Oryctolagus cuniculus: one gene and its partner. The protein of the gene in region 1 interacts with the protein of each later gene in a biochemical or structural test. Links are inferred from orthologs where the notes say so. Each region holds a gene or a part of one and is shown on either strand. Other genes may lie near its edges. The genes, in order: RNF181 and ITGA2B.

Region 1 (11,469 bases):
ACCACTTGTGATGCCCGCATCCCATATCAACAGTGCTGGTTCGAGTCCAGGCTGCTCTGCTTCCAATTCAACTTGGATGGAGTTCCAGGCTCCTGGCTTCTGCCTGGCCCAGCCCTGCCTGTTGTGGGCATTTGGGGAGTGAACCAGCAGATGAAGATTCTCTCTCTCTCTTCCTCCTCTCTTTCTCTGTTGCTCGCTTGCTTGCACTGATTTCCCAGGCACATTAGCAGGAAGTTAGATTGGAAGTGGAGCACCCAGGACTTGAAAGGGCACCCATATAGGATGATGGTGTCATAGGCAATAGCTTAATCCACTGCACTGCAATGCCAGCCCCAGCTCTGCCTTTCAAGTCGATAAAAATAAATAAATAAACATGTAAAAACAAAATGAAACAAAACCCCTCAAGCTTTGCAAGCCCCTGGCAGCTGTCAGAAGAGCCTCTTTCACCCACCTTCCTCTTTGAGCTCTTGGCTGCTCCCCCTCCCCGTGCGTGGTGGGCATCTTCCCACACTCTGGCTGATGGCATTTCTCCCCGACTGAATGGCTGCTTCTCTGCCCTGACTTTTCTCACTTCCATCTGTGCCTGTCCAGCACCAATGGGGAAATGTTCTTCATCATTGCCCTTGGCCCTGTGCACGTGTGTGTTACTGTTCCCTCCAAGCCAGCCTCCTCTACTGGACTTTTACTGCTCTCTCCAGCCCCACCCTGCCCCTTCACCCGTACTCTCTGCCTGCTCCGTCACTGTCTGGGGCGTTCCCTTGGCTCTAGGTTGCAATGCCCCAGCTTCAACCCATCCTGCAAGGGTTCCTCCATCCCATGCTTCCAATCACAGTTCTCACCTTGTTACTTGCACCCTCTGTGGGCAGCTGCATCACTTACAGCTCATATCTCACAGTGTCACTGTTTACTCTTCAGGGAGAGAGGGAGAGAGAGGAAGAGAGAGGGAGAGAGGGAGAGAAGGAGAGAGAGGGAGAGAAAGGGAGAGAGCGAGAGAGGGAGAGAGAGGGAGAGGGAGAGAGAGGGAGAGGGAGAGAGGGAGAGAAGGAGAGAGAGGGAGAGAGGGAGAGAAGGAGAGAGGGGGAGAGAAGGAGAGAGGGAGAGAAGGAGAGAGAGGGAGAGAAAGGGAGAGAGCAAGAGAGGGAGAGAGAGGGAGAGAAGGAGAGAGAGGGAGAAGGGGAGAGGGGGAGAGAGGGAGAGGGGGAGAGAGAGGGAGAGAGAGGGAGAGGGAGAGAGAGGGAGAGGGGGAGAAGAGGGAGAGGGGGAGAGAGGGAGAGGGGGAGAAAGTTGGAGAGGGGGAGAGGGGAAGAGAGGGGGAGAGGGGGAGAGAGGGGGAGAGGGAGAGAGAGGGAAAGAGAGGGAGAGGGGGAGAGAGGTCTCCTTAAAAGATCTCCTTTTATTCCAAAAACAGTTGTCCTGGACTTTAGGCTGAGTTACAGTGTGGCGGAAGGCAGCACGGCCCTTGCCTCCCCCCTTGCCTGGTGCTTTATCTCGCGCCGTGCTAGCAGACACCTGTGCACACACGGTCTGTGTCCATTTTCCCCTGGTTGAGTGGGCCAGGGAGAGCCTGAGACTTGAGAGTCTGATGGCTCTGTGTTTCAAGTGTGTTCTTTTCAGCCTGGGTCCATCTTGGCTCTGGACAGGCCTGGCTTCGCAGTGTCGAGACTGCTCCAGATAACAGCTGGAGGCCCAGCCAGCTCTCCGCGGAGAATGTGACCCCACATCACCCCTGTTGGAGAACGAGAACAACAGCTGTCACATTCAGAGTAGCAAAAATAATGCCCAGCACCCCACCAGTCTCTAGCAGTGATTCTTATTTCCAAATCATTGCCCGTCACCGAGTTTTTGCCTTAGACTTGGAATGTGGGGGAGTTCAAAGGATCACATCACGGAGCCTCAGGGAGTAACAGGGCAGCCATGGCAAAGAGGGTGGCTGGCTCAGGAAAAGCTTCCCTGCCCTCCTTCACCCTTCCTCTGTGCTCCCCAACCTGTGAGCACCCCTCCTCCCAGTGCTTTGCCTGACCCCGCTTGAAGCAGGTTGTTTTTCAGGCTCATGAGTAAACACTGACCTATTTGGGTTTCAGATGCCTGCCCTGCAAAATTCCTGCTGGGCTGGATAAACACACTGGGGGAACATCTCTTGAGAATGCAAGTTGCTTTTGGATACAATGCAGGTGACCCACTGACTGAGCCCTTGCAATGGTCAGCACTGTGCCGGCCTCCTGGGCCCCCCAGGATGATGGCAGATGGAGGCAGGGCCCTCTCCCTGGGAGCTTGTGGTCCATTTGGAGAGCTAGGACTCATTCACTGGGAATGCATGCAAGCTGTGTGCAAGGCAGCTGCAAGGATCCTGAAGGGGGGATTCTTGCCTGAGGAGGAGGTGGTCCTCTGTGACTACTGGATCCTTCCCAACACTTAAGTCCTCTGCTTTTGAGGTGCCAAACGGTCTGCTGCAGACAGTGGCTATGTGGGCTGGCAGGAAAGGGAGTTTAGCTGATACTCTCTGCCAAGAGGAGGTGAGGATCAAGGCTGAGGTGAGGAGCTGCTGGGCTTTGCTAATCTGCCGATAGTCATCTCCCTGAAATGTCCCAGCACCTGCACCTGCACCTGCCTCCTGCCCTGAGTCTCTCTGGCCCAGGCAGAGCCAGGTGCCAGTCTTACTCATGACCCAGACGTTTCCTTTCTCCCGTGCCCTCAACCTCTCCCGGCTTGCAAGCTGCCCTTCCCTTTCCAGCCCTCTGAAAGGAGCTGTGTTTCTGTTAGGTGAAGCTGTTCAGGCTGGGAAAAATCCAAGGAAGGGTTGGTCTCTTGGCAGTGAGCTGGACCCCAGTGAAGACCCTGGCTAACTGGAAGAGGGAGGCCAGAGGCTAAGACAGCTGAGCTTCCTGGGCAGAGAGGGAGTGACTGTGGCCGCTGATGTGGTCAGCGGGCTCCTGACCAAGAGGCAGAAGTGGCCAGGAAGGAGATCTGAGTTGCTCAGTTTAGGGGAAGAAGAGAGGGTTAGGCTGGATTGATAATGCTGATCCCAAATTACCTTTTTAGCCTGAAGGGTGGGTGTCTTCCCTGTCTGGCTTCCAGCCAAGTGGCTTGGCTGCCTCTTTAGGTCAGTGGGAAGCCACAGGGCAGGTGCTTTGTGGGAGGGTAGGGTCCTCGCTGGAATCCAGGACTGATTTATGTCCTGCCTAATGGGCAAGGGGAGGAGACTGTGAGACCAAAGGTGAGCCGCGGAGGCCACGTGCCGTGCCGTGCCGTGGTGCAGCAGGTTAACTGTATCGTGTTTGGGAGTGCCGCTTAAAGTCCCAGCTACTCTGCTTCTAATCTAGCTCCCTGCTGAGGCACGTGGGAGGCGTCTGCTATGCACCTGGGAGACTCCTGGATGGAGTTCCTGGCTCCTGACTTCAGCCTGGCCTAGCCCTGGTTGTTCTGGTCATTTGGGGGAGTGAGCCAGCAGATCAAAGGTCTCTCTCTGTCTCTGCCTTTCAAATACTATTTTTTAAAAAGATAGGACAAAAAAATTTTTTAAATGGCGAGTGGCATTTACCCAGCCCCACCCCCCAACACATCACACCCTTACACGAAGGATCCTGTTACTCACATGCTGAATCCACACACAGTGGGGGGAGAGGACTGTAGGTCTCAGGGCCAGATGAGGGCCGGGGTGGGGGGGCCTCATGCAGCCCTGACCTGGGGCTTGGTGCCCAGGCAGGGAAAGAGTTGGAGCGATGCCAGCGGCAGGCCGACGAGGTGACAGAAATCATGCTCAACAACTTCGACAAGGTCCTGGAGCGCGATGGGAAGCTGGCAGAGCTACAGCAGCGTTCGGACCAACTGCTGGACATGGTGTGAGGCCCGTGGGTCAGGGAGGGGAGGGAGGGCTGGGCGAAGGCCCTGCAGGGAACGCTCGGGCTCTGCCCAGGGTATACAGACACTTGGTGGTGGCTGGGGGGGGGGGGGGGGGTTAGGGGCCAGCATGGGGCCTCTGGGTTTCTGAGGCACTCCTAGTAGGTATGCAATGGCCTGCCTTCAAAAATAAGACATTCTTGATTTTGTTATGGGAGAACATAAAATTTTGCTTTATGTTCTCCCTTAATAATGTGAAGCTATGTAGCTTCCTAAGGGTGGGGACTGGCATTGTTAACAAGGGGGGAGGGGCGGGTTGAGCCAGTAGGGCAGAAAGTCAGGGGTTACACCAGAGCCTGAGGCCAGGAGTGAGGCTGGGAAGATGCGGGGCAGGTTGTGGAGGAGGGGGACAGGGTGGGGAGGATGCAGGAGAGAGGAGGCCTTCCGGGGCCAGGCTGGGAGGCGCTGGTTCTGAGGCCATGGAGCGATGCTAACTCCCACTGTGTCTGCGGGTGTCCACAGAGCTCAGCCTTCAGCAAGACAACCAAGATCGTGGCCCAGAAGAAGCGCTGGGAGAATATCCGCTGCCGGGTCTACTTGGGGCTGGTGGTGGCCGGAGGCCTGCTCATCATCCTGATTGTACTGCTGGCCGTCTTTCTCCCGCAAAACAGTGGAGACAGTACTGCCCCACAAGCCCAGGATGCAACCACTGCCTCAGGATCTGGGGAATGACCCAGCTGGGCCTGGAGAGAGGCCGAAGAGCTGCACGGGCCAGTTCTAGTCTCCAGAGAACCCTGCTATTGGCTCCTGTCTGAGCCACCTCAGTGAGTGCCAGAGGGCAGCCCAGATGTGGGTACCTTTGCATCTCCCAACAAGCCACAGACTGGCCCTCAAGGGCGGCCTCCTGCACTGGCCATGCCGGGCCAGCCCCACCTGGAGCTCAGTAAAAGCTGCTGTTGGATTAAAAGATGATGATGATGTGTGTGCTGCACGTGTGCACGTGTGTGCCTGAAGCTCCCCAGGTTGGCATATCCTGCTCTGCCTCCACCCTCAGGGCTGCTTAGAAAGCCTGCCACCCAAAGGACTCCACCCCTGCAGTATAACCCGCTTCCGATTCCCTACTTGATCCAGCCCTACACAGACAGACCTTTCTGAGGTGTGGGGGCAAGGACACAGCAGCCCCCAAACCAGACCCTTGAACCCATCTTGTTTTTCTGACATCTTGGGGGGGGGGGAGCTGCGAGATGGGATGCCAAAGAGGAAAAGACGTCAAAACTCTGTAAATGAGTCTCTCACCGTCAGCTAGACCTCCCCCCTGCTGCCCCTGAACACTTTCCCCTCCCCAATTTCTCCGGCCCAGGTTCTTCTTCAGCCTTTACATACCAGAGTGCAGGTGCCCAGAGCTCCTGTGGTGCTGTGGACACAAAGTGTGGCCTGGAGTTTGTCCTGTAGGAAAGGATTCATTCGGGCTTTTTTCAAGCTCCAGGGCCACCCACGGCTTAGCAGGTGGTACCTTCAGGGCCTCGGCACAGATCTTTGTGCAACATCACAGAAGGCCAACCAAAGTGGTGGAGGCAGGGCAGCCTCTCCCTGGGTCACTTAACCACAGCTCAAACTCAAGGAAGAGTGGCAGGGGGAATTCAGAGTCAAGTGTGTAAAATAAGCAGATGCTTGTTCAGTAGAGTGAGGACTACCGACAGGAACAACCACAAGCTCTGAGAATTGTGTGGAATTTCATCCCTCCAAGAGGTCACGGCTTTCACCTTCCGGTGGTGGGAAAGACAGGGCCAAGCCTTTAGCCCTGCCTGGTCAGCCACACCACTTACAGGCTGTGTAATCTGGGTGAAGCCACTGCTGTAACTCAGGTTTTACTGATGTAAAAAGGACATAAGGATGCATAGCCCCCAGGACCATTGGGAGAATTACTGATGCGGTGTGGAAAATATCCATCACAGTTCCAGGTGCCAACCAGTAGCTGTCCCAGACATTGAGTGCAGTGGTTCTCTCATTCGAATCGGCAGAACTTAAATCAGAATATTCTTAGGGCATCAGCCCTGGAGTTATTTTCTAAAGCCGCACCTCTCATCATTCGTGTGCAGGCAGGAATACAAATATTGTAGTTCGAAGCCCTGGTTTTACAGATGCTGGATAGGAGGTTGAGCAATGGGCTGAAGGTCACACAGATGGGCAGTCCGTTCCAGGGCAGGTGAAGCCACAGGGCACAGACCTCTGCCTTTTGGTTGGGAGGCTTGCCCCGACCTTTATTATTCTACCTAACTCACGAGAAATGCGCAGGCTCCCCGCCCTCCGCGGGCTGGGGAGGAATCAAGCGCAAATCACTGAACCAACTTGAGCGCAGCGGGGCGAAAGGGCCCGGCGGGGACATGGGCAGAGCCGCGCGCAGAGCCATCGTTCCAGCCGGGCTCGTACACGCGTCCCCCTCTCCCGAGCGGTCTCTAGCGTCGCATGACCGAGGCCCTCGTGGCCTCAGGGCACACTGAGGACCCTTACTGCTCAGACGCCCGGCCTTCCAGAGCACCAAAAACGCTATCACGCCAGAAATTCCCGGGAATTCTCTCTGGTCTTGGATTCCTACATACCCTTTAACCAGCCCTGGTTTCTGCCATTGGCTTTACTCTTTGATCATCTGATTTATCCTAGCCAATGAGAGGCGCCCAAATTACTACTTCCGGCTTTTTTTTTTTTTTAGTGAGCCACTATACCCGCCCGTTAGATACTCTGATTGGCCCTCCTCTCTCAACTTGCCAGTTTATTGGCCAGCACTGTGAGGCGACCGGGGGCGGGGGCCCGAGCGCTGTGTCAGACCGTGGAATAGCCATGGCGTCCTATTTTGATGAACACAACTGCGAACCGTTGGACCCAGAACGGGAGACGCGAACCAACATGCTGTTGGAGCTCGCAAGGTGGGTGCGCGGGGTTCGGGCGTGCGTCCGGGCAGTAGGTTTCTGGGTTGGGGCTTACTGGTTAAGGATTATCTGGGGCAGGACGGATGAATAATGTGGAATATTAGTCCGGAAGGCGAGATTGGGGGGTTTTCTGGGGGGCGGAACCGGGGCAAGGAAGTTGAGGGGAAGATTGGAACTGGAGAGTGGTGGGAGTCGGGGCGGGTGGGCAGCCAGCTCTGGGAGCCAGGGGTGAGCCACGGCGGGTTAGGTTCGGAAACCCGGAAGCCCACACAGCCAGCCCGCAATCTGGCTCCTCCAGTTCGTTCCTGCGTGGCCTGAGGAACTTATCTGAGTAACAACCTATGTGCAAAATGGGAATGATCAGTCTGCGTGCTGGGGTTATCAGACAGCAGCTGTAAACTATTTCCCATCCTGCCTTTTATCTCGTTAGCACCCTCTGAGGGTAGCTGTTACTGCTATTGGCTGGGTTGGGCATTTATCTGTTGATGCCCAGTAGATGATGGACAAACGGGAGGTCTGGTTTTCCTGGGGACCAACCTTGCACCCTCCTCCCCAGGTCACTTTTCAATCGGATGGACTTTGAAGACTTGGGGTTGGTAGTAGATTGGGATCACCACCTGCCTCCACCAGCCGCCAAGGCTGTGGTCGAGAACCTCCCCAGGACAGTCATCAGGGGCTCTCAGGCTGGTGAGGCCACTCATTCCTCTTGTTGTTGGGGGCAAAGTGACAGATGCTCCCCCTTCTTCCAGCCGGACTCGGGTCTGGCCGTCAGTGGCCAGGCCAGGGCCAGGGCCAGGGCGCCCTTCAGGAGTGGGAGCTGGGCGGGGGACCTGCGGGCAGCTCTTCTGATCAGCGCTCCCTCCTAAAGAGCTCAAGTGCCCCGTGTGCCTTCTGGAATTTGAGGAGGAAGAGACTGTCATTGAGATGCCTTGCCACCACCTCTTCCACGCCAACTGCATTCTGCCCTGGCTGAGCAAGGTACTGGTTTCCTTCTTCCAGTCCTCACCTTGCCCCTGGGCCCAGGTCTCTAACTTGGTTTACAGACTGTTGAGAGATCAGGGAAGGGTGGGAGTTGGGAGTAGGGGAGGTGATTCTAAGGGTGAAGACCTGACCCCTGTGAACACTGCCCTGTTTCTGCCAGACAAATTCCTGCCCCCTGTGCCGCCACGAGCTGCCCACTGATGACGACACTTACGAGGAGCACAGAAGAGATAAGGTAGAGGCTGGGGTGGGGGGCCAGGATGGTTTCCCTGAGCCCCTTGTTCTCACAGCTCTCCTTCCCCACTTCAGCAGGCCTGGGTAGACCTCAGAATCTCTGACTGCCTTCCCAGAGACTTTGTGGAGGGGTTTAAGACCAGGGAGAGCCAGCCCAGCCCAGCCCCTCCCCCACAGACCTTTAGGTTTGGTCCCTGCCCAGTGTGCCCTCTGTCTTCCAGGCTCGAAAGCAGCAGCAGCAGCATCGACTGGAGTACCTCCACGGAGCCATGTACACGTGAGGCGGCCGGGGCTGCGCGCTGGCTGGCAGGCCACAACAGCTTCCTCTTGCACCTTGAATCCTCATTAAAGGTTTCTTTATCTGCCTCGCCGGGGTTTCACATCCTCCACTAGGTCTCCATTGCTGTTGGTGAAGGTGGTCCTAAACCACGAAGGCAGGCGTCGGGCTCTTGTTCCCTCCCTGCTGGCCTGTCTACACTCAGGGCAGCGGAGCCCGAGTCCAGGAACCTTGACCACTGGGCCAGCCAGGGCTTGGGCCTCTGTGTTTTTATGGTTCAAAGGCACAACATAGCAGGATCTGGCCATTTAGAGCTGATAAACCAGCCTCCATCCCCGTCCCCCTGCAGTTTCTAGTTAACCTTGGAACTTTTAGTTAATGCTTAGAATCCCGCGGGTTTTCCTGCAGCTCCATTGAGAACACTGGGTGTACCATTTTTAAAGTGGCTCCCTAGAGCACCCCCCCCCCCACCGCGCGTGCCAAAGAATCAAAGCTCAAACTGGATTCCTAGTGGGGGAAAGAAGTGTGAGGTGATCAGACCAGGTCAGCTGTTTCGTCTGAGAGGCCCAGAAAGGAACGCAGGTCCCCAGGTCCTTGTGGGGCATCGCATGGCACCTGGCATCACGTGTTCCTGGCAGTCCTGCTCTTAGGACTCCAGAGCTTCCTCCCCTCCTTTGCTTAGGGAAAACCATCCTGGACCAGGCCCTCTCTGACTCTCCAGAACAGACTACAAAGATGCAAATTAGAATTCTTTTAATAGGTATATAAAAAAAAGTACTAAAATACCCCCGTGGTTCTGCTGTGTTATTTGCCCTAAAGGAAGTGAGAGGCAGAGTGAAGAATCCCAGTGCAGCTCAGTGGGCCCAGAAGTGGGCTTTCCCATAAACTAAGGCGTGCCCCCCCCCCGGCTCCTATCCCCTCTGCTGTTCCCAGCCCCCCAATTCCTGCAGCAGGAACCCCAGTGGTCTGGCTCTGGCACTGGGATAAGAAGGCACCTGAAGGGCTGGCTGGGCGAGTGAGGACAGGTGACCTTTAAACACAAAACGCCACCTCGGCGTGGGGGAACAGGTCATGCTGCTGAGGCAGGGCCTGCTCCTGTATGGCACAGGTGGACGTGGGCTGGCCACTTCTCTGCAAGCAGGGAAGCCCAGATCCCAACAGAATACTTTTCTCACACTGTTTTTGGTACAAAATAAACGCAGATATGGGGTGGGGTGCTGCGGAGGCCAGGCCAGCCACCCTCCCCAGACTTCAGATCATGGCAATGCTCTCGGGGGTGCAGTTGAGGTGGGTGGACGTGCTGCTGCTCCCAGAGGATTTGCAGGCCCGGCCAGGGGCAGGCTGCAGGGCAGCCACCAGTGTGTCTGAGGAGATTGCCCCAAACTCATAGCTGAAGGTGCCATAGAAAATAAGGATATCGATGACAAACACCCACTCGCACAGCGCCGCCCCGTGCTGCAGCTGAGAACTTTCGTGGACAAAGAAGACACCACCTGGAATGAGGCTAAGGAAATGTTCAGGAGGATGTGTGGGCGGCAGGCCACAGCGCCTCCCCCGCCATCAGCCTTCCCCCCAACTCCCCGCCGCCATCCTGGATGGGAGAAGGGCTGGGCTAGAGGATGAGTTCTTGGCTGCCCAGTCCTGGAAGGATACTGAGGACCAGGGTGACGAAGGCGATGACAGCCAGCACACTTCGCAGGTAGGCCACAGCCAGATCCAGGCGCGTGGCGGCCCCGTGGTAGGAGAGGGCGCAGTGCAGGGACACAAAGAGCAGCCCCGCGGGGAAGGCCACGCCAGCTCCCACATAGTGCAGGGACTTGGCGTGATCCACCTGGGCCCAGACAGAAGGGCTGGTCTGTGACGAGGCCCCAGCACTCCACCACCTCCTCTCTCCTTTCCCTCCCACTCTCTCCTTCCCCAGCCCCCAGCCTTGAGGTGCTGCTGCCCCTGCAGGCAGCCAGGCCCTGTACGGGAGAGCTCAAGGGGCCAGGTTGGGTGGGCAGGAGGGCACCTGAAAGTTGCCGACCACCACGAGGCCCGCGGCGTTGGTGCAGCCCGTGATGAGTGCTGTGGTGTTAACCCAGGAGTGCCGGTTCTGCTCCAGGAGCTGCCCGTAGCGCAAGAGGCAAATCAGGGCCACTGCAGGAGGAGAGCAGAGCTGGGGCTGGCTCTGAATCCTTCTCCAGCCCCGGCCCCACCCAGCGAGCCTGCCGGCTTGCCCGCAGTTCTGGTGCTCCTGCCCTGAGGGCTGGAAGGCAGTGGACAAACATGTGGTGAGCTGGGTTTCCTCAGGCCCGGACCAGCAGGGTGGACGGTGTGGGCTATGTGGGAGTTGGCCTTTGGCCTTCAAGGAATGGGAGAGACACAGGTTGCCCCGCTTGCCTTGGCCCTCCGTGGGGGAGGGCTGAGCTGGACGAGGGCTTCCTGGGCCTTTCTGGGGAGGGGGCGTGTGCAAGGTGGGGCTGCGGGGCCAACTCACCCATGAAAGCACCCATGTTGCCAATGAGGCTGAAGAGGCAGCTCTCTGGGGGGTATGTGCCGCACTTGCTGAGGGAGGGGCAAGGGCAGAGTGAGAGGGGAGTCCCAGGGGAGCCCCGTTCTGGCCCGGAGGCTCTCCCCTGCTTTATCTGTGCCCGTTCCTTTGTAGGCAAGACACTGATTTCTGTGAAAGGCCCGTGTTGCTCACGTGTGGCTGGCTCTAAGCAGAGCTCACGTGTCGGGGAGAGAAGGGAGCAGCCAGGAGTGGTCAGTAGACCTGAGACTCCTTGCCGAGGCCTGCGGCTGGTCAGGCTTTCCTTAGCCCAGAATGTGGGCTGGGCAATCAGAAGGCTTGAGCCTGGAGTCTCATGCCTCCACTCACCAGCTGTGTGGCCCGGACAAGCAACAACACTGAGTCTCGGTTTCTGAAGCAATAGATAAAATGATAGAAACAATAGCTGCCTCACCGGTGGGAGGAGGATGAGAGACTATGCATAGAGGCCCAGTGCATCGTGACTACCCCTAGGATAATGGTTATTCCTGACCCCCGAGAGCAGCCAGGGCTGTTTTGGAAGTCTGGGAGGGCTGAGGGTCTCCCTGACCTGCCCAGGTTCCAGGCCTTACCTGATGAGGGGGACATCGTCCAGGGTGCAGCAGGTCTTGGGGCCCCCTTGCTCAGCTGGGTCAGGAGAGCAGGACTCGTTGTAGGACCTGGCAGGCAGGACAGGGAGTAGA
Region 2 (11,411 bases), on another chromosome or scaffold:
CATCAGCGAAGAAGGCCCAGACTGAAGTCCAAGAAGCTTTTAGCCTTAAGGGATCATACTTTTTTTTTTTTTTTTTTTAAGATTTATTTGTTCGAGAGGTAGAGTTACAGACAGTGAGAGGTAGAGACAAAGGTCTTCTTTCTGTTGTTTCACTCCCCAAATGGCCACAATGGCCAGAGCTCCGCCAATCCAAAGCCAGGAGCTTCCCAGTCTCCCATGCGGGTGCAGGGGCCCAAGGAGTTGGGCCATCTTCTGCTTTCCCAGGCCACAGCAGAGAGCTGGATGGGAAGAGGAGCAGCCGGGACTAGAACTGGCGCCCATATGGGATGCCAGTGCCGCAGGCGGAGGATTAACCTACTGCACCACAGCGCCGGCCCCAGGGGTCATATTTTTAACTGAGCTGAGATGGTGAAGTACGAGAAGGGAGGAGCTTAAGTGACTCCAGATGGCTCGGGGTAGTCAAGCAGAGTACGGCGCCAGTGCAGTCTGAGCAGGGAACTCCAAAAGGAGGGTGCAGCCGGGCCCTCCTCCCGCTGGTGCCCTCCGGAATCTCCTCAGTGCACTTCGGGGAAGACATGCAGTGCCAGGGAGACTTGGCACTCCTCCTGCCCAGGGAACGTGCCTTCGTGTTCCACTCATCTGCCGCTGTGTTTGCCTCTCCTATCCTTAGCGCACGCCTCCGCGCAGTCCAGCAGCTGGCTCTCGGCTGGGCCTTGGGGCTGCAGAAAGAAACCTTGCTCTCAGGGAGTTGCTGCACAGGGCAATGAGCAGACCTGGGGACAGTAGCCCAGGGTGCTAGTCTGCGGAGTTGGGGGAGCCTTCCTAGAGGCAGTGACCCCAACCAGACTCGAGTTTTGATTGGTTGGATGAGAGCTCCATCATGCAAGGGGTGAGGACCCGCCTTCAACTGATAGCTGGTGCGAAAATCTCAGAGCTCGTTAGCCAGAACACCCTGGGGTGACTCCACTCTATGCCCATCGCTTTGCTAGGCCAGATCCTTTCGCCATCTCTGTACCAGCACTGGCTGCACTGCTGTGGCCACACGAAGACTTGGCCCAAGATAGAAGAGTGAGGAAGCTTCTGCACCAATAAGCATGACAGGCTGCCAAAGGCCCTGGAAGGAGGAAGTGGGCGAGGGCCTTATCCCAAAAGGGCAGCCTCAGGTCTTATCAAGGGGCAGCAGCTTCCGGGTTCCTGCCCCCATCCTGGCCGAGTTACAAAGCGCCACCGCGATGCAGCCAGCTCGATGGGGCGAGGGAGGAGCTGGAGGACTGCAGGCCAGGGTGGACCTGTGGCGTTGTAGGAACAATCAGTCCACACCTGGACTCTCGGGCACCAAGTGAGGATGGCGTGGCCGAGCATGGAGGTAGTGGAGCTGGGGTGAAGGATCGGGAGACAGCTGAGAGGCAGGATCGGGGGGACGTGGTGAGCAGCTGCTCCTGGGAAAGGCAGGAGATGTGACTTCTGGCCATGCGCATCCACCCCTTGGAGGGCCTCACCCCCTTCCTGGCAACGCCAGACACCGTCCGGGTCCAGGGCCAGCCCTTTGCCTACTGTTGAGCAAGTTACGCTGGGTTCCAGTTTGATAAGAAAAGACTTCCTGTGGTGAGAACTGGAGGGAAGACGAAGGAGCTGACCCATTCCTGCCTAGGAGGTTGTGGGAGAAGGAAGATGGCCAGAGCCTTGGGTCCACTGCCTGCCTTCTGGTTTCTGGAATGGGCCCTGCTGCTCTTGGGTCCAGGTGCTGGACCTCCAGCCTGGGCCTTGAACCTGGACCCAGTGCAGCTCACCATCTATACGGGCCTCAATGGCAGCCACTTTGGGTTTTCACTGGACTTCTACAAGGACAGCCATGGAAGGTGAGCCCTGGGGGATATTTGGATGCTGGGGAGAGAAGGGCCCCCCACACATGCACATCACTACTCAAGTTCCCTGTGGATGAGAGCAGTTGAACAAGGTGAATTCTGGGGTCTGCTGGGCACAGCTGGCCCAGGTGTGAGGGGGAGGAACACCGGTGGGGAGGTGGGCGTTGAGGCCACAGCAGAAACAAAGGGAGGCCCAAAGCGCGTGCCTGGCTTTGCCCGGAGGATCATCCTGCTGGGATACAGAAAAGAGCACATGTCCTGAGCTGGTCTGCCAGTTATAAAACTGTCTATCCGGCCTTCTTTTCGGCTCCATTTCTCTTATCCCCATCACAGTTATTAGCAATTTGAAAAGAAGCAATCGGTCATTAATGGTTGAATTGATCAGGCTTTGGAATCTGACTACCAAGGTTAGAGTCCTGCCCCCCCCTTTTGTTAGGATTTTTGTTTGTTTATTTTGAAGAGTTACAGAAAGGGGAGAGAACAATCTTCCATCCACTAAGTTCCCTCCCCAAAAGTGGCTGCAGTGGCCAGAGCTGCGCCAGGAGCCAGGAGCTTCTTCCAGGTCTCCTGTGTGGGTGGCAGGGACCCAAACACTTTGGCCAGCTTCTGATACTTTTCCCAGGCCATTAGCAGGGAGCTGGATCAGTAGAGCAGCCAGGACAAACCGACAGCCATTTGGGATGCTGGCATTGCAGGCAGTGGCTCTACCTGCTATGCCACAGTGCCTGCCTACCTGGCTCCTCCTTTTTATACCTGTGTTACCCTGGGCTACTTGTCCTAGTGGACATTGTCCCCTTCCTGAGGTGGTCCCCATTCAATGATCAGTGAAAACTGTTTGGGGGGCAAGGGGTAAGGGTCCACCCTCTTGGTTCAACTCTTTTTAAAAATATATATTTACTTGAAAGGTAGACCAGCAAGGAGAGAGAGGGAGAGACAGACAGAAGTCCTCCATCTGCTGGTTCACTCCCCAAATGGCCGCAAGGGTTGGGCTGGGGCTGAGCCAGGGGCTCGGAACTCCATCTGGTCTCTCATGTGGGTGGCTAGGGCCCAAGGACTGGACCATCGCCCCACTGCCCTCCCCGGCATGTTAGCAGGGAACTGGATCGGAAGCGGAGCAGCCCCCGGGTGTTGACCCCCATCTGACATTGGGTCTGAATCTCAGCTCCACACCTGTTGCTGCTGCTTTCCCCCTCCTTTCCACGATTAGTGGTCCCATGGGCACTACGTAGTAAACATCCTGGGTGCCAAAAAATAAAGTGTTCTTCCTCAATGAACTTGCTCCCTGTTGGACTGGGACCGTGCTAAACGCCCCGTATACGTGCAGTACATGGGTTGGCGTTCTGCCTGACTGACACGTGGCAGAGCTCAGGTAAAACTACCCCGGCGGGACCCTCCGCTCCCACGCACCCCCGCCCCACTTCGCGTGCCTCCCTCAGCACTCAAACCCCCTCCCAAGGAGGGACCTGGTTCCCAGGAGCACGCGAGACCCTGGTGGTGGCTGGTGGTCGGACGGTGGAGACGCCGACAGCGTAGGCGATACTTTTCTCACGGATACCGAACCCCCGGTGTTCAAATCAAACCGTGGGATCAGTTCCAGCTTCACTCCCGACTCGCTGGGTTACTTTAGGCATGGGATTTCCCTCTCTCACAATAAAGTGTGAGGTCCCATGTAGGAGAGCGATGCGGTGCCCGCCGGCTACACGGCCCCGGCGCGCTCCCAGCACCGCGCCGCGCTCACCCTGCTTTCCCGCGCAGCGTGGCCATCGTGGTGGGCGCCCCGCGGACCCTGGGCCTCGGCCAAAAGGAGACGGGCGGCGTGTTCCTGTGCCCCTGGAAGGCCGAGGGCAGCCCGTGCAGCCTGCTGTCCTTCAACCTCAGTGAGTCCCCAGCAAGGGTGGAAGGGAGGAGCGAGGGGGAGGTTCACGGCCGGATGGGACTCAACGCCCCACCCCTTCTTGTGCCCTCCAGGCGACGAGTACCGAAAAACGAGCTCCCAACTTTTCCAAACCTTCAGGGCCCGGCAAGGCCTGGGGGCGTCGGTCGTCAGCTGGAATGACATCATTGTGGTGGGCGCCCCGAGACCGGCACGGGGCGGTCGGGGAGGGGATGCGCTGGGGACGGGGGAGCCCGAGCCTCGCACCCTTCCCCACTCTCCCGTGGCCCTGTCCAGGCCTGCGCCCCCTGGCAGCAATGGAACGTCCTGGAAAAGGCAGCGGAGGCCGAGAAGACGCCGGTCGGCGGCTGCTTCGTGGCTCATCTGCCTAGCGGGAGGCGCGCGGAGTACTCGCCCTGTCGTGGCAACACCATGAGCCACGTTTACGAAAAAATGTATCTTAGTAAGGGCCACCCTCCATCTAGTTCCGCCCACTCGAGACTGCATAGCCCCGCCCCTAACCTCCGCCAGCCCGGCTTCCAATCTGGCCTTAGCGTCTGCCCAGCTCCTGGTCCCGCCCCTCCGACTGCAGCCACGCCTCCTTATTACCCTGTCCCCGCCCCCTCGCGCTTGCGCACTGCCCCGCGGCGCTGCAGGCGCGGAGGCTCGCTTCTTCCCCCGCGGGTTCACTGAGCCGTCTCCCCTAGGAGACTTACGCTCCTGCGAAGCGGGCTTCAGCTCCGTGATCACCCAGGCAAGTTGGAGGCAAAAGCATGGTGGGGGCAGTCCACGAACCGGGCGCTCTTCTCACCTCCAGGGCTTCCCTTTCAGGAAGGAGAGCTGGTGCTGGGGGCTCCGGGCGGCTATTATTACTTAGGTACGTGCGAGTCGGTGCGACCCCCGCCCCTCTCACGGCCCCGGGAGACCCCTGGCGTCTGGGCCCCCACACTCCCTGCCCCTCGCGCCCTAGGTTTCCTGGTCCGGGCTCCAATTGCCAACATCATCTCGAGTTACAGCCCCGGCGTCCTCTTGTGGACCGTGCCCAATCAGAACTTCACCTTCGACTACAGCAACCGAAAGTACTTCGACGGCTACCGAGGTAATCTGGAGCCCCAGCACCCCAGGGGTCACCGCCCGCCCCGCCGACCACGTCCTGCCCCTCGGGAGCCTCCGCAGCGCCTACAGCGCCCCGCCTCTGGACGGCTCTGCGCGGTGCCGGGTTCGGACTGGGTGGCCTCGGAGTCCCCTCTTTTCTCGCCCCCAGCACCTCCTGCTAAGATTTAATTTGTCCCCAGGGTACTCGGTGGCCGTGGGCGAATTCGATGGGGATCTCAGCACAACAGGTAAGAAGTCCACCTGCTCAGTGGCGGGGTTGGGAGCCCAGCCCCGGGAGAAGCTGCGCGCGGAGCGGGTGGGAGGTAGCAGGCTCTAGAGATGCCGCCCGCTGAGCCTGGCTCTCCCCCAGAGTATGTCCTCGGTGCCCCCACTTGGAGCTGGACCATGGGAGCGGTGAGTGCCCTCCACCACACCACTGGCATCAATGTCCCCAGTCCTCAGGCTCACGGTCCCCCCGCCCCGACTTCCTGCCCTTCTCACGGGGAGCAAACGTAACACGCTCCATGCACTGTCCATGCAGGTGGAAATTTTGGATTCCTACTTCTACAGGCTGCACCGGCTGCAGGGCGAGCAGGTGGGGGCCGGGCCGCGCTGGGACTGGCTGAAGACAGGAAACTAAGACCACAGAATATCTGGGGGGTTGGGAGGTACAAACGAAGGTGCCCTCGTCTCCTTGCAGATGGCTTCGTATTTTGGGCACTCTGTGGCGGTCACTGATGTCAACGGGGATGGGTGAGGAGGGGGACGCCCCACCCCTACCCCGTTGGTTCCCCAGTTGCCTCTGCCAGCCCTGCCTTGGGCACGACCGCCCCAGGAGCTGAGAGCCAGCGTGGGCAAGATTTGGCCCTAGCCCCCAGCCGCCACTAGCCAGCCCCAGCTGACCACCCCTCTGCCTGCAGGAGGCATGACCTACTGGTGGGCGCTCCTCTGTTCATGGCGAGCCAGGCAGACCACAAGCTGGCCGAGGTGGGGCGCGTGTACTTGTTCCTGCAGCTGCAAGGCCCCCACCTGCTGGGCGCACCCAGCCTCCTGCTGACCGGCACGCAGCTCTACGGGCGGTTTGGCTCTGCGATCGCGCCCCTGGGCGACCTCAACAGGGATGGCTACAATGGTGAGGAGAGAGGAGCCCCCACTTGCTGCAGGAGGGTTAACAGCCTCAACAGAAAGCCTGGGCTTGACCCGAGGGCAGGGGGAGCCAGGAGGGGCTTCAGTCAGGAAAGATGAATTCAATGTGGAGGAAAATGGAAGGGGTTGAACAGGAGAAAATGTGCCATGGGGAGCAGGGGGTGGAGCCAGAGGAGTCATGGGCGGAGCCAGAGGGACCAGGGGGTGGAGCCAGAGGAACCAGGGGCGGAGCCAGGGGAGCCAGAAGAGGTTCCTGTAATGCACAGGGGGGACACAGCCCGGTGCCGGGTGAAGAGAGACACCTGTTCCAATGTCAAACACGAACAGGGTAAAGGGAGCTGGTGGCCCACGGTGGGGCCACTTCCCTTTTGAGAAGTAGGAGATGCGGTCCCCTGTGAGAAGCCAAGGGCTGGGCGCTGCAAGGATGGAGGAAGCTAGAAACAGGTGCTGAGCAGACTGGGAGGAGTGAGCAGCACCTGGCCAGGCAGCGGGGCAGCCTCCAGGGCACTGGGGTCAGGGGCTCATGGTGCCCCGAGCTGGGTTCACCCAGGGCTGGCAGTGGGACAAGCCGGCTCAGCCTATGGCAAGGTCAGAGAAATCAGTGAAGACAGTTCAAAGAAAGAGCTGCGTAGGAAACATGCTGTCAACAAAATCGGGAGGCAAAGGGTAGACAGGTGCAAGGCACGTATCAAAGACGCGCTCGTGTCAGACACGAAGAGTTCTCAGAGGTGCCACTCTGACAACAGGTGCGCTTTCAAAGGTGAGTGAGAGCCTGTGGGTGTGCCTGAGTCTGTGGGGGGGAAGCGCAGGGCCCCAGGGGAAGTTGGGGGCCTGTATTTAATAAGCTTCAGCTACTCCATATTCTGGAGCCCACACTTTTTATCTAAAATTAGTAGAATAATGCCTCATTTTCAGGATTAAATGAAATCTTGTTGATCTCTTTTCCTCGGCGGTTAGTGGAGGCTGGTGCTGTTTTCCTAACAGTGCTGCCTGACCAGCCTCTCTCCCACTTGACCGCAACTTCGGCCTCACACTGGGCAGCCCTCTCTTGGTCCTCCGGGGCCGGCCCAGAGAGGGAGCTCAGGAAGCCGTGCCCCTGGTGGGGGGGGGGGGGTTGAATAACAAGCAGCCATGCCTGTTACCTTTCCAGATGTTGCGGTGGCTGCGCCCTACGGGGGTCCGAGCGGTCGGGGCCAAGTGCTGGTGTACCTGGGGCAGAGCGAGGGGCTGAACCCACATCCCTCCCAGGTCCTGGACAGCCCCTTCCCCGCGGGCTCTGCCTTTGGCTTCTGTCTGAGAGGTGCCACAGACATCGATGACAACGGATACCCAGGTGCCTTTGCTGCAAATGCCGAGAGACAGCCAGGAGGCCCGGGCCTGACCTGGTGCCCGCCCCACTGGGGGCTCTGACCGCTTTGTATGGCTGGGAAGCCTGGGGTGGAGGGGAGCAGGTCAGACTTCCTGGGGCGGGGGAGGTGGTGTGCGGAGCCCTAAGGGAGATGAGAAGCCGCCCCCATGCCCTCTCTAACTGCCAATCCCGACCCCTCCTGCAATGTTTAGACCTGCTGGTAGGAGCTTACGGGGCGGACAAGGTGGTTGTGTACAGGTGAGCGCTGACTCTGGGGGCGGGGTGCGGGAGGAGGCCAACCCCAAAGGGGCCGCAACGGCAGGCGCCCCTCTGTCCCGCTAGAGCCCAGCCGGTGGTCATGGCCGATGTCCAGCTGCTGGTGCAAGATTCGCTGAACCCTGCTGTGAAGAACTGTGTCCTGCACCAGACCAACACCCCCGTGAGCTGGTGAGGAGGCGCGGGCGCGGCAGCCGGGACCTGTGGTCCCTGGGCCGGCCCTCGCCCCTGAACCCACTCACGTCTTTGCAGCTTCAACATCCAGATGTGCGTGGGGGTCACCGGGCACAACATTCCCCAGAGGCTGTGTGAGTGGCTCGGGAGGCGCAGGGGGAGGAGGGCCCAGGCTCCCCCGCGGCTGGCCAGGTGGTCTTGACCGGGCCTGCTTGTCCTGCAGACCTGCAGGCTGAGCTGCAGCTGGACCGCCAGAAGCCCCGCCAGGGCCGGCGAGTGCTGTTGCTGGGCTCTCAGCAGGCGAGCACCACCCTGAGCATGGACCTGGGCGGGAGGCAGAGCCGCCTCTGCCACAACACCACGGCCTTCCTTCGCGTACGCACAGGCAGGGGTTCGGCTGGGCTGGGCGTGTGCACCGCATTCACCAGCCCTGGGGCACTGGGCTGGGTGCTGTGGGTCCAGGGGTCATCAGCAGGATGTGCATGGAGCGAGATTGCCTGACTCCTGTCTCCCTCCTAGGATGAGGCGGACTTCCGGGACAAGCTGAGCCCCATCGTGCTCAGCTTCAACGTGTCGCTGCAGCCCAAGGAGGCTGGCGTGGCCCCTGCCGTGGTCCTGCACGGGAACACCCACGTGCAGGAGCAGGTGGGACGGGTGGGAGTGGTACAGGGCCCCTGACAGAAAGCCTAGGTTGGGGTAGTGTCCAAATCATAATGTGTACCCCCAGACCTTGACGTCACCCCGATATCTGGCTTACCAGTTAAGATGCCTGCATCCCATATCCGAGCGCCTGGGTTCAATTCCCAGTGCCAGTGCCTGATCCCAGCTTTTTGCCAATACAGACCCTGGGAGAGAGTGAAGGTGGCTCAAGTCACCCACCTGGGAGGCTCAGGTTGAATTCTCAGCTTTGCTGGCTGCTGTGGGCGTTTGGGGAGTGAACCAGTGGAGCTCTGTCTGCCTGTTTCTCTCTCTCTCTGCCTCTCAAATAATTCAAGTGTTTGTGTATGTGCAGAGTATGTTTATATGTTTATGATATATACAGAGAGAGGCTAGCGAAAATCCCAATATCCCCTACACCTTGAGGTCAACTCCAAACTTTTTCAGCTTCAGATCTTTTTTTGTAAGATTTGCTTTATTTATTTGAAAGGCAGAGTGATGGAGAGAGGGAGAGAAAGAGAGAGAAAGGATATTCCATCCACTGGTTCACCCCCCAAATGGCCACAGAAAACGGGCTGTGCCAGGAGCCTGGAACTCCATCCTGGTCTCCCATGTGGGTGGGGGGGACCAAGCACTTGGGCCATCTTCTGTTGCCTTCTCCGGGGCATTAGCAGGGAGCTGCATTGGAAGTGGACCAGCGGGGACTTGAACCAGCGCTGTGATCTGGGGTGCCGGCATCCCAAGTGGTAGCTTCACCTGCTGTGCCACAACACTGGTCCCTTATTCCCTAAGCCCTGATAAGAATCCCAAGCCCATTGTTGTATTCCTAACCCTGGTGTGGCCCCCAAGCCTCAGAGGACCCCAGTTACCCACACCTCTCAATGTGCCCCCCTAGACCCGCATCATCCTGGAGTGTGGGGAAGATGACGTGTGCGTGCCCCAGCTTCACCTCACGGCCAGCCTGTAAGGGGACCTCCCACTCTGCTCCTCCCCGGCCCTCTCGGCCCCCTGCCGCCTCTCCTCCTCCCTGGCTTCACTCCTCTCCCTCCCCCCCACAGGAAGGGCTCCCCACTCCTGATTGGGGCTGACAATGTGCTGGAGCTGCAGATGGTCGCGGCCAACGACGGGGAGGGGGCCTACGAGGCAGAGCTGGTGGTGCACCTGCCCCTGGGGGCCCACTACATGCGGGCAGTGAGCACCATAGAGGTGAGGCCCAGCCCTAGGGCACTGCCAGGTCCTGACACGTGCAGAAGCCTCCACCCTGTCCATATCCCACTGCAAGAGCTCCCATGTCCCGTATGCTTGGCCACATAAGGTGTTTGGAAGAGGAATGCTCCCTAATGGCACAAAATTCGAGAACTCAATCGAAAAACCCCTACATGTCTCAGAAACGAAGTGGTAGCTGGAACCTGTGCCCAGTCTTTTTCCTCCAAGATTGACAGTCACTAACAGAGGTACAAAGGGCACTGCAAGAAAGTGCATGGAGAACGTGCAGTATGAAAAAGCTAGCAGCAGGTTTCCAACGCTCTGGGCATAAATAATCGTAACCTTTGCATTCCATGTTCCCACAGACTTTCTGAAGGCACCTCACCTATTGATTTCGGTTTTTGCTGTAGTTTATAACAAGGGGGTCATTCTCTATGCAATGCATTTTTAGGTTATTATTTCCCAAATGAAAATTTACTTAAAAAAAAAAAAAAAGAAGTGTGACAGTGACGCAAAAGCAGAATCCCACCCCCACCTCCCCAGTGCCCCTGCTCACCCAGGCACACAAGTGCCCCCCCCACCTCCTTTCCAAAGGAGCTTAAGCCCCGCCCCGCCCCCCAGGGCTTGGAGAGACTCATCTGTAACCAGAGGAAGGAGAACCAGACCAAGGCGGTGCTGTGCGAGCTTGGCAACCCCATGAAGCAGGCGCGGGTAAGGCGTCGGCCCGGCACAGCCGCAGCCGGGTCCCGGGCCAGGTTTTGGAGTCTGAGAGCCCTGGGTTAGAATCCCGGGCCTCACACCCCTGGCTACTGTGTGTCCTGGGTACGGGGTGAGCTGGGAGGGGGGCCACTGGGAGCCCATTCAGGGCAGGGCTGCCCAGAGCGGGCTTTGGGGCGGTGACTTGGGCCCTCCCCGTCTCCCAGATAGGAATCACGATGCTGGTGAGCGTGGGGAACCTGGAAGATGCTGGCGAGTCTGTATCCTTCCAGCTGCAGATCAGGAGGTACCCGGCTCCGGGGAGCGCACCTAGCCACCCCCTCCCCTGTCCGACCCCAGTGCAGAGACCCTCAGGCTCCTTCCCTACAGAAGGGTCTTCTGAGACACCTTCCGGCCAGGCCCCGCCCTTCCTCTCTTGGGTCAGAGGTTCACGTCTGACTCCTGGGACCTTAGAGGAGTTCTTTCCCGCGCCACGCCCTGTGTGCAGTCAGCGCTCCCTGGCCCGGCCCAGGGAGGCACGGGGCGGTGTGTGGGTGACCCGCTTCTCCTCACCCCTCCCCTGCAGCAAGAACAGCCAGAACCCCAACAGCGAGGCTGTGCTGCTGGCTGTGCCGGTCCGCGCTGCTGCTCAAGTGGAGCTGCGAGGGTGAGAGAGAGGGCGCCCAAGGGAGAGGCCGGCAAGGCTGCAGTTAGGTGTCCCAGGGGCTGCAGCCTGGAGATCACTCACCCTCTGGGGGGCTTGGGCACCTGTAGGAACTCCTTTCCAGCCTCCCTGGTGCTGGCAGAAGAAGGTGACCAGGAACAGAACAGCTTGGACCTCAAAGTGGAGCACACCTATGAGGTAGGGAGCCCCCGCCGAGTCCCAGCTGGGGAGGGAGGGGCCTAGGTGCTGTGCCCTGGCTCTGAGCCACCTGCTGCCTGGCCATCACCACCCCAGCTCCACAACAATGGCCCAGGCACCGTGAGGGGTCTCCACCTGACCATCCACCTCCCGGGCCAGTCCCAGCCCTCGGACCTGCTCTACATCCTGGGCATAGAGCCGCAGGGGGGCCTC

What was found.
Region 2: the proteins of RNF181 (region 1) and ITGA2B form a complex in vitro, tested with the Homo sapiens proteins (2 studies listed by BioGRID). The link is inferred for Oryctolagus cuniculus from reciprocal best matches to the Homo sapiens genes RNF181 and ITGA2B.

What each region holds. Positions count from the first base shown.
Region 1 is NC_091433.1:117,051,788-117,063,256, reverse strand, and holds RNF181 (E3 ubiquitin-protein ligase RNF181), read left to right. Parts: upstream 1-6,539; 5' UTR 6,540-6,675; coding exon 6,676-6,761; intron 6,762-7,320; coding exon 7,321-7,451; intron 7,452-7,632; coding exon 7,633-7,742; intron 7,743-7,905; coding exon 7,906-7,980; intron 7,981-8,200; coding exon 8,201-8,260; 3' UTR 8,261-8,344; downstream 8,345-11,469. Other genes in the region: VAMP5 (vesicle-associated membrane protein 5), read left to right, coding at 3,700-3,837, 4,360-4,569; TMEM150A (transmembrane protein 150A), read right to left, coding at 9,508-9,749, 9,910-10,087, 10,268-10,395, 10,736-10,803, 11,359-11,445.
Region 2 is NC_091448.1:18,913,284-18,924,694, forward strand, and holds the start of ITGA2B (integrin alpha-IIb), read left to right. Parts: upstream 1-1,591; 5' UTR 1,592-1,671; coding exon 1,672-1,859; intron 1,860-3,620; coding exon 3,621-3,742; intron 3,743-3,833; coding exon 3,834-3,931; intron 3,932-4,035; coding exon 4,036-4,201; intron 4,202-4,445; coding exon 4,446-4,496; intron 4,497-4,569; coding exon of another isoform or gene 4,570-4,573; coding exon 4,574-4,615; intron 4,616-4,708; coding exon 4,709-4,837; intron 4,838-5,033; coding exon 5,034-5,081; intron 5,082-5,203; coding exon 5,204-5,247; intron 5,248-5,374; coding exon 5,375-5,428; intron 5,429-5,533; coding exon 5,534-5,586; intron 5,587-5,753; coding exon 5,754-5,965; intron 5,966-7,129; coding exon 7,130-7,312; intron 7,313-7,539; coding exon 7,540-7,585; intron 7,586-7,669; coding exon 7,670-7,774; intron 7,775-7,855; coding exon 7,856-7,911; intron 7,912-8,000; coding exon 8,001-8,152; intron 8,153-8,296; coding exon 8,297-8,422; intron 8,423-9,329; coding exon 9,330-9,397; and 12 more. UniProt on the Homo sapiens protein: Integrin alpha-IIb/beta-3 is a receptor for fibronectin, fibrinogen, plasminogen, prothrombin, thrombospondin and vitronectin. It recognizes the sequence R-G-D in a wide array of ligands.